Linked DNA regions of Xenopus tropicalis. The protein of the gene in region 1 purifies or fractionates together with the protein of each later gene. This does not show direct contact. Links are inferred from orthologs where the notes say so. Each region holds a gene or a part of one and is shown on either strand. Other genes may lie near its edges. The genes, in order: iqgap3 and cdc42.

The links.
Region 2: the proteins of iqgap3 (region 1) and cdc42 purify together in Homo sapiens (affinity purification with mass spectrometry; 4 studies listed by BioGRID and IntAct, with this or other methods). This does not show direct contact. The link is inferred for Xenopus tropicalis from reciprocal best matches to the Homo sapiens genes IQGAP3 and CDC42.

What each region holds. Positions count from the first base shown.
Region 1 is NC_030684.2:133,159,745-133,163,564, forward strand, and holds part of iqgap3 (ras GTPase-activating-like protein IQGAP3), read right to left. Parts: intron 3,776-3,820; coding exon 3,549-3,775; intron 2,926-3,548; coding exon 2,793-2,925; intron 2,539-2,792; coding exon 2,436-2,538; intron 1,268-2,435; coding exon 1,120-1,267; intron 954-1,119; coding exon 866-953; intron 357-865; coding exon 144-356; intron 1-143.
Region 2 is NC_030683.2:94,443,565-94,448,002, reverse strand, and holds the start of cdc42 (cell division control protein 42 homolog), read left to right. Parts: upstream 1-1,616; 5' UTR 1,617-1,760; intron 1,761-1,769; exon of another isoform or gene 1,770-1,860; intron 1,861-4,438. UniProt on the Homo sapiens protein: Plasma membrane-associated small GTPase which cycles between an active GTP-bound and an inactive GDP-bound state. In active state binds to a variety of effector proteins to regulate cellular responses. Involved in epithelial cell polarization processes.

The DNA.
Region 1 (3,820 bases):
GGGTATATGTGCTAACCAATGACCAAACATCAATCGACCTTAGTATTTGCCCCCCTGCCTGACCAGCAGATTAAAAAAAATGATTGGGGTATTTCTGCTGGAGGGATTAAGCAACCAAATATACCCTAGCAGGATATGTATACCTTAGCGATCATGTTGATAATCTCCTGATACTCATTATCAGAGGACACCAGCCCCAGGCTTTCCAGCCTCCTCAGGTTCCGGATAATCCTGCGTTTCTTCTCCTCTATGGTAAGTTGGCTGTTGCCCAGCAGCGACCGATGGCGCTTCATTTTTTCTGGGGTCTTGGCTTCTCGTCTGGCTCGTTGATTCATCAAGTAGAGATGTGACGCTTCCTAATCAAAACCCAGATTCACTATTCATTGTTTGTAATGTTCTTACACACACAAGTAAACTGCACTGGAGCAAAGCTTTATGGGGGGGCATCCCTTAGAAATTACCTGGTATGTTCCAGATAAGAGGCAGGCCCTGCGATAGGTTTGGGGCTGTACTGAGCAGGATTTGATGCACCTAAGATGCACCCACTGGAACATGTTACAAGACGTCACATGGGCATCCCCACTGAACCCACATCTCATTTAGAGAATAATTTATGTTTATAATATATAGCTCTGCTAATTGGCTGGGTTGGGTTTATATATGTCATTACAAAAAAAATGTTGTAGGCATCAGACATTTTGTACCATTACCTCCAATGACACTGCATCATTTAGTGGCCAATATAGAAGGTTCATTTCTAACAATGACTAGGAAAAAGGAAAAGGGAAACCCTGCTCACTACTATCATTTCTTCTGTGATCTGATTGGATCCCATTTGATTAGTCAGAAGCAGCTATTTACCCACCTGCTGGGCAGAAGCGGAAGTGTACAGAAGTTCTGCTAGGGTATCCCCAGGCTGTGTCTGGATAACATCTACCAGCAAGTGCTTTGTGCTGCAGCGGATGAAAACAGAGCGAATGAGTATTTAGGCAATGCAGAACAACGACGCTTACCAGGGTTCAACTCCCAGCATCCTCTATCCTATTTCTATAGTTCTGGATATATGAAATAATCTATTGGTGCACAAAGGGACAGATGCCCAAGGCATGCACTTCTCACCTCAGTAACAGTCCTTGAGTGTCCATTGCTTCAGCATTGCTTTCCATCATGTCAAACTTGTTGGTGAGAGTGAGAGACATCTCCAGCTTCCTTAGCGGAGCCAGAGCTTGTTCTGAGCCGACATCGCTGAGGTTTGAGGTACTTTCACCTGGAAGCAAATCACCCACAGGTTACTGTAATGCAAGGTAAATGCTGGCTAAGACTGAATGGCAGCACTGGGATCCTGTCTTTGCTTCCACTATGCAGGAAGTCTGTATACTCTCCCCATGCTTGTGTGGGTTTCCTTTGGGTACCTCTGCTTTCCTCCCACACACAGAGGCAGTTTAAATTGCTCCTGCTAAAACCTACCGTAGTGAGCGTGAATGTGATAGGGACTTTAGTTATTAGGTATCATAGCCTTTCAAATGTGTAATCCCCCTGTGTAAGCTCAATTAGAAACTGTCTCTGTAGCCATAATCTAACATCACTGTGTATATGTGAGACGAAAAACTGCCCCTCATACAAGTAATATAGCTATAGATACTATATGACCAGCTGAGATTTGCTTACAGCCTGCACAGAGAGATTTCCTATATCTATGCCAGTACAGGTATGGGACCTTTTATACAGAATGCTCGGGACCTGGGGTTTTACGTATAAGAGATCTTTCCGTAATTTAAAGATAAAATAAACCTAATAGGATTGTTTTACCTCCAAAAAGCATTAAACTATATCTTAGTTGAGATCAAGTACAGGTACTGTTTTATTATTACAGAGAAAAGGGAATCATTTAACCATTAAATAAACCCAATAGGGCTGTTCTGCCCCCAATAAGGGGTAATTATATCTTAGTTGGGATCAAGTACAGGTACTGTTTTATTATTACAGAGAAAAGGGAATCATTTAACCATGAAATAAACCCAATAGGGCTGTTCTGCCCCAATAAGGGGTAATTATATCTTAGCTGGGATCAAGTACAGGTACTGTTTTATTATTACAGAGAAAAGGGAATCATTTAACCATGAAATAAACCCAATAGGGCTGTTCTGCCCCAATAAGGGGTAATTATATCTTAGTTGGGATCAAGTACAGGTACTGTTTTATTATTACAAAGAAAAAGGAAATCATTTTAAAAAAATGTATTTAATTACATTATTTGCTTATAATGTAGTCTATTGGAGATGGCCTTTCTGTATTTCAGAACTTGGATAACGGGTTTCCGGATAACTGATCCCGTACCTGTATAGGTATCCCACTGTACTAAGCACAACCCAACAAGACATCTGTAGGGTTTAGTAGCCCTTGTTGTAACCAATAATGTGGAAATGGTCTCATACCAATTAGAGATTGGACTGTAGGCACCTCCCCAATATCCTCCAGAAGCTCATGGATTGGATCCTTGTGGTCAGGAGCGATTGAATCCTGGTGTTCTACCAACAGCTAAAAACAACAAGAAGGTTTTACATTACACTACATTAACATTTATTTATAAAGCGCCAACATATCCCGCAGCGCTGTACAATAAGTGGGTTACATACATTGGACATACAGAGTAACATATAAAGCAATCAGTAACCGATACAAGAGGTGAAGAGGGCCCTGCCCAAAAGAGCTTACAATCTACCCTCAATTACATTATGAGAGAACAGCAGCCTCCCTTGTGTATATACCTGGGGAACTAAAGGCTTCCTCACCTTGTGTGTATCGATCAGCTCCCCGACAGTGATGTAAATGACTGGCTTGGTCATGTTCACCATCTCGGAGTACTCGTCTATGTTAAACCTTTCTTCTGGCTCTGGCACGGTACATGCAGTGCGGATAAACTTCCTGTAACCAATAAAATAAAGCCTTTATTACCTGTACAATAAGACCAATGCATGCTGGCTGGGTATATATAGAGGTATAATGCTATAACAGATACTAAGTGTTAAACAGGTGAATTATAAATACTAACATATGATTGGTTGCCACATGTGGAGCAAACTTTGCACCTATTAGCCTGCAGATATATCCAGTTAAAGGGGTGGTTTAAAGTTAACTTTAATATATTATAGAATGTCCTACTTCTAGCAACTTTGTAATTAGTCTTCATTAATTTATTTTTATAACTTTTTGAATTATTTTCTTTCGTCTTCTACATCTCACCAGCTTTCAAATTGGGGGGGGGGGTCACTGACCCTGGCAGCCAAAATCTATTTCTCTGTGAGCTACAGGTTTATTGTTATTGTTACTTTTTATTCAGGCCCTCTCCTAATCATATTGCAGTCTCTCATTTAAAACACTGCTTGGTTGCTAAGGTAAACAAGATCCTAGCAACCAAATAGTTGCTGAAATTCTAAACTGGAAAGCTGCTTGTTAGTTTAAAGGTGATCTCCCCCTTTAAGCTCCTTTTCTTGACTGGTTAGTAAAGCAGAACCTGACATATCAGGGAATGAAATGGAAACACAGACCTGAACTTCCAGTACGTCTCCTCTAGATACTGGTTGAGGAGGCCGAGATGAGAATCCTCAAACATTTTGTTGGCAGCGGCGTGTTGGAGAACTTTAGCAATGGAGCCGAGCGTACGGCGCTGATCCGGGTGAAGTGTCCCCCCAGCGGAGAGATCAATGATATCGAAGGCATCTGGGGCTACCACAGCCGGGTTCATAAAACGGTAATACAGCAAGTTGCCTACAATCTAGGGCAGAAAGCAGCAGTTCTAGTAGTGATGACCCAGTCAGTA
Region 2 (4,438 bases), on another chromosome or scaffold:
TACTTTGCTATTACCTAATAAGTTTGCCAGGCTATAGAAACGTCAGAAATTAGCTCTCTTTCAGTCAAGACTCCAGTTCCCACAATGCCTTCTACCCTTCCATTATTCTCCTTTTTGTGTTAGGGCTCTGGCACACGGGGAGATTAGTCGCCCGCGACAAATCTCCCTGTTTGCGGGAGACTAATCTCCCCGAATTGCCATCCCACCGGCGAAAATATAAGACGCCGGTGGGATGGCACACGCTGCGCAGGCGATTTCGGCAAATCGCCGAAGTTGCCTCGCGAGGCATTTTCGCCGATTTGCCGAAATCGTGCCACTGCGTGTACCATCCCACCGGCGACTTACATTTTCGCCAGTGGGATGGCAATTTGGGGAGATTAGTCGCCCGCGACAAATCTCCCTGTTCGCGGGCGACTAATCTCCCCAAATTGCCATCCCACCGGCGAAAAAGATTTCACTAACCTCCCCGTGTGCCAGAGCCCTTAGGGTGAAGACACATTGCTAATAAACGCCAGAAAATACCCTGCCATAGACAATACTGACAATTGCCTCTGCTAAAACACACATAGAGACAGTTATTAATAAATTATCAGCATTTTCTACTTGTGTAGCCACAACAAGTAGCTGCTACTAGTAGCTCCTGTGTCTTCACCCTTAGGGCTCTGGCACACGGGGAGATTAGAAAATGCCTCGAGAGGCAACTTCGCGATTTGCCGAAATCGCCTGCGTGACAAGGGAGATTTGTCGCGGGCGACTAATCTCACCGTGTGCCAGAGCCCTTTATCACAGAACTTGCAAGGCATTTGGGAAGTGAAGTCTTGGTTGGAGGAGAGCTGACTACTGATACAATGTGACAATGGCATGAGCAGATAAGAAAAGCAAAGGCCAGACAGGAACTGATTTCAAAAAATTATATATTACATTGCAATGCGTCAATAAAAACCACCTTGGAGCTAATACAAACTTGAATTTCTGGCTAAAGATAAAAGCTATGATTGTACCTATTAGGTGAGGTTGATATTTTTGTTTTCTAGTCATGTACGCCACATAAAAGCTGAATATGCGCTCAGTACCTGTCCTAGAACTACAACTCCCACAAGCTACTGCTGACAAGCTCAATTCTCACTGACTCGGTTTTTTACGTCCTGTAAATCCTTTGTACCTTGAGTCTCGCTGTCTTTCGCTTCAGGCCAACACTCTGCAAGGAGCCCTCTACCACCACTTCTTTCTGTATTGTAAGACTGTCACTGTCACCATTTAACCCAAACTTCCCCAAATCTGAGCCCACCTAAATATCGTCACTTCAAATGTGTTTTACTTTGCTCATACGGAAGTCACCTGACCGGATATCATGAGTTTGCGGCAGACATTTCACAATACGGGCAAATCACGCCCAGGTTTTTATTTTTAGATTGAAAATGCGAACGACAAATAAAAAACCTTGAACGATTTGAATTAGTACCCGCTCCCCCAGTCTATGTTCTTGAAGCAGTGCGCAAAAAAATTCTGTGGTGCTGTGTAAAATCACCTTTGTATTCGGTACAGCAGCAGGACCAAAGCCCTCAATAAAGATGGCCACAAACCAGTTCTGCTTATTCTTCCCTTGTCAACCTGCAGCAATTCTTCGCCGCATTGTGCAATGACGTCACCACTCCAGAGCGTCGTGACATCATTACGTATACTGACCCCTGCCTGTAAGCCTAGGAAACCCTGCGAGTAGCTGCCAACGCCCGGTGGAGAGAAGGGGAGAGGCTGAGCGGGTAAGTGGGGGGAATCTTTCCGAGCGCTGGCTGTTTGGGGGGAACATTATCCTCACTCGGGGGCAGTGTATGGCTGGAGTGGAACTGTTCGCAACGCGAGGTATATAGGGGAGCGCAGGGGCAGGGAATTGCTGTGTGGCCTCTGTAACAAGGAACGGGGAGCGGCCCGGTACCGCATCCTGTCGGGCTATCTGGTATATGGGGGGTCGCGCCCCTGGGTACAGTTGCGGGCTGCTTGTGCAGGGTAACTCAGTGGGGTTAATTGCGTGAGTTTGACATGTTTGGGTAAACCGGGACTGTATTGGCTGTGTGCGCTGGAATTTGGGGACTGGACATGGTAGGTGAGGCTTATTCTCATTAGCTGTGCTTTCTTTTACTTGGGTCTATCCGCCCGAACGCTCAAGCATTCGGTGAGTCTGCCAGGGATGCTGGGAGTTGTAGTGGGGCTTTAGGTTAAGATCGCTTCGTTACTTGCCCCTCGGGACCCTAAAACAGCAAATTTGGGAGGGGGCGCTTTAAGATCAGCTGTGTTACCGATAGATCGGCGGATGGTGGTGGTTTTTGGGGGGAGCAGGGAGGAAATACTGCAGGGAGGAGGCTGCTGCTGGGGGAGGGTAGGAGGGAGAGGCTGGTTCTGTACACTAAGCTGTCAGCCAGCATCAAGGCCTTTTAGAAACCAGGAAAGAATTTGTAGATTTTGGCTCCTCGGCTAAAATAACCCGTAGTTTGGTGGAGGATGCCGGAACGTCGCGATCATAACTGCTGGAGGGCCGGCCACTTGTGATGTCCATCCCCATTGGCTGTACGGGTTCTGCTCATTCTTCCTCTAATCAATATACTTTGCAAGTTCTATTGGGATTCTGGAAGGCCTTTGATGTTTGCTCTGTAGTGGCCCCTACAGCATTTTTGCCCATGCCTGTAGCTTCCAGGTCTCCAAGGGTACTGAAAGGAAGGTAGAGAGCAGACACTGGGCATTTTCTAACAGCCTTTTGGGGGTGGGGGGGGTTAGAAAACATATAAAAAAAAACTATTTGTATACCTGATTAGCATCCTTATCCAAAATTGGTGTTAGGCGTGGGCATAGAGAGTACTGATAGAGATTATAAAAGTTATGGAGTTTGTTACAGGCAGGCTGCAATACAGTTGCTGTTTTGCTCCCCTGTGAGCACTTAGGGAATTGGTCCCCAAACAGTGATTTGTGATCATCTTGTTCTCCTCCTCTTTTTATAGTGCGCCAAACAGCTTCATAGTGGGCACTCATTGGGTCCCAGGTAGATGCGGTTTGGCAACCCCAGAAAGTTCTTTTTTTCATGCTTTCTGGTTTTGCAATATTTTCTATGTGAATGCTGTGCCTATCCGCTCTGTTGGAATATGGGTTGAATTTTGGCTGGAAAACATGCAACTGCACATTCAGGCCAAAATAAACCCCATGTGGGTACTGACTTGCAGTGTGGTGCCTTTCATTGCTGCTGGAACATGAGGCACAAGGTGTGATGTTACCCTTATGGTGACCTCACTGAGGAATTGTGATACCCTTTGTCAGAAGGAGAAAGTGGCTGTTAGTAGCCAACTAAATTATCTAAAGACCTGCAGCTATGAAAGTGCCCAATCTGCCATTAACCCCTAAGTCAAAAGTAGAGGCAGCACATACTTGGCAGAGATTTCATTTGTGATAGAACATCTCCATGCAGATAAATAAATTGTGAAGATGGCAGTGCCTGCTGCTGCTAAGATCCATTTCTTTGGCCCTGCCACTGCAACTGTGAATCTGAAGCAACTTAATCGGGCCACACCTGGGGGAGCTGCATTGGGTATATCTCACTAGCTTTTGGCATGACAGCAGTCTTACTGTAGGGTTTTGTTTTTGGGTAACGGGGAGGGTTGAAGCATTTAACTTAACAGCTGGAAGATATATTGCCAATTTTAATGCTTGCACTAAGGAATGTTTCCTGGTATTCATGTTACTATTTCTGTTTCCTTTGTGGCAAATAACAAACCCATTCTTGCTTTATGGAAGGGACACTAGATATACAGATATACCTGTCACTATCAGAACCACTGTCACACAAGACAAAGCAGGATCAATGAGCCTTTATTTCAATGGCTCATTAACATTTACTTCACTGCTGCTTGGAATCCCTGTGGCTGATTTAGCAAGAGATAAGGAAGAGTATAAGTAGGTTCAGCTGAGGGGAAAGCAAATTGATGGGTGAAGTTTCCTTGCTTACTCTGACCTCATAGTCGTCATCCTGAGAGAACTTTAGGTGTAAGTTCTTCTGTACTGCTCTGCACTCTCGGTTGCCAGTATAATAGATGGATTTTGTATGCTTGTCTCAACAAAGCTATTCATTGGGCGGACCTGTGATTTAGAAGAAAATAAGTGTGTCACTTCCTGAGACGGTGTTTGATATTGCATTACCATCAAAAACTTTAATCACATTCTTCTTTTTTTGCTAATGGATCCTGGTAAAGCAGGGCCAAAACGACATTCTGTCAAATTCTCCTAGGGCAGTGGAACTTACTCAGGGAGATTTTAAGCTGAGTTGGTGCCATTGAATGCAAAATGTCTGCTGTTTTCATAATGACAAATAAGAAGGTGGGCATATATCAGTCATACTTAACTGGGAAATCTGTATCTGCATTTCCTAAGTAAAACTCATTGAAGCTTGCTGTAAAAA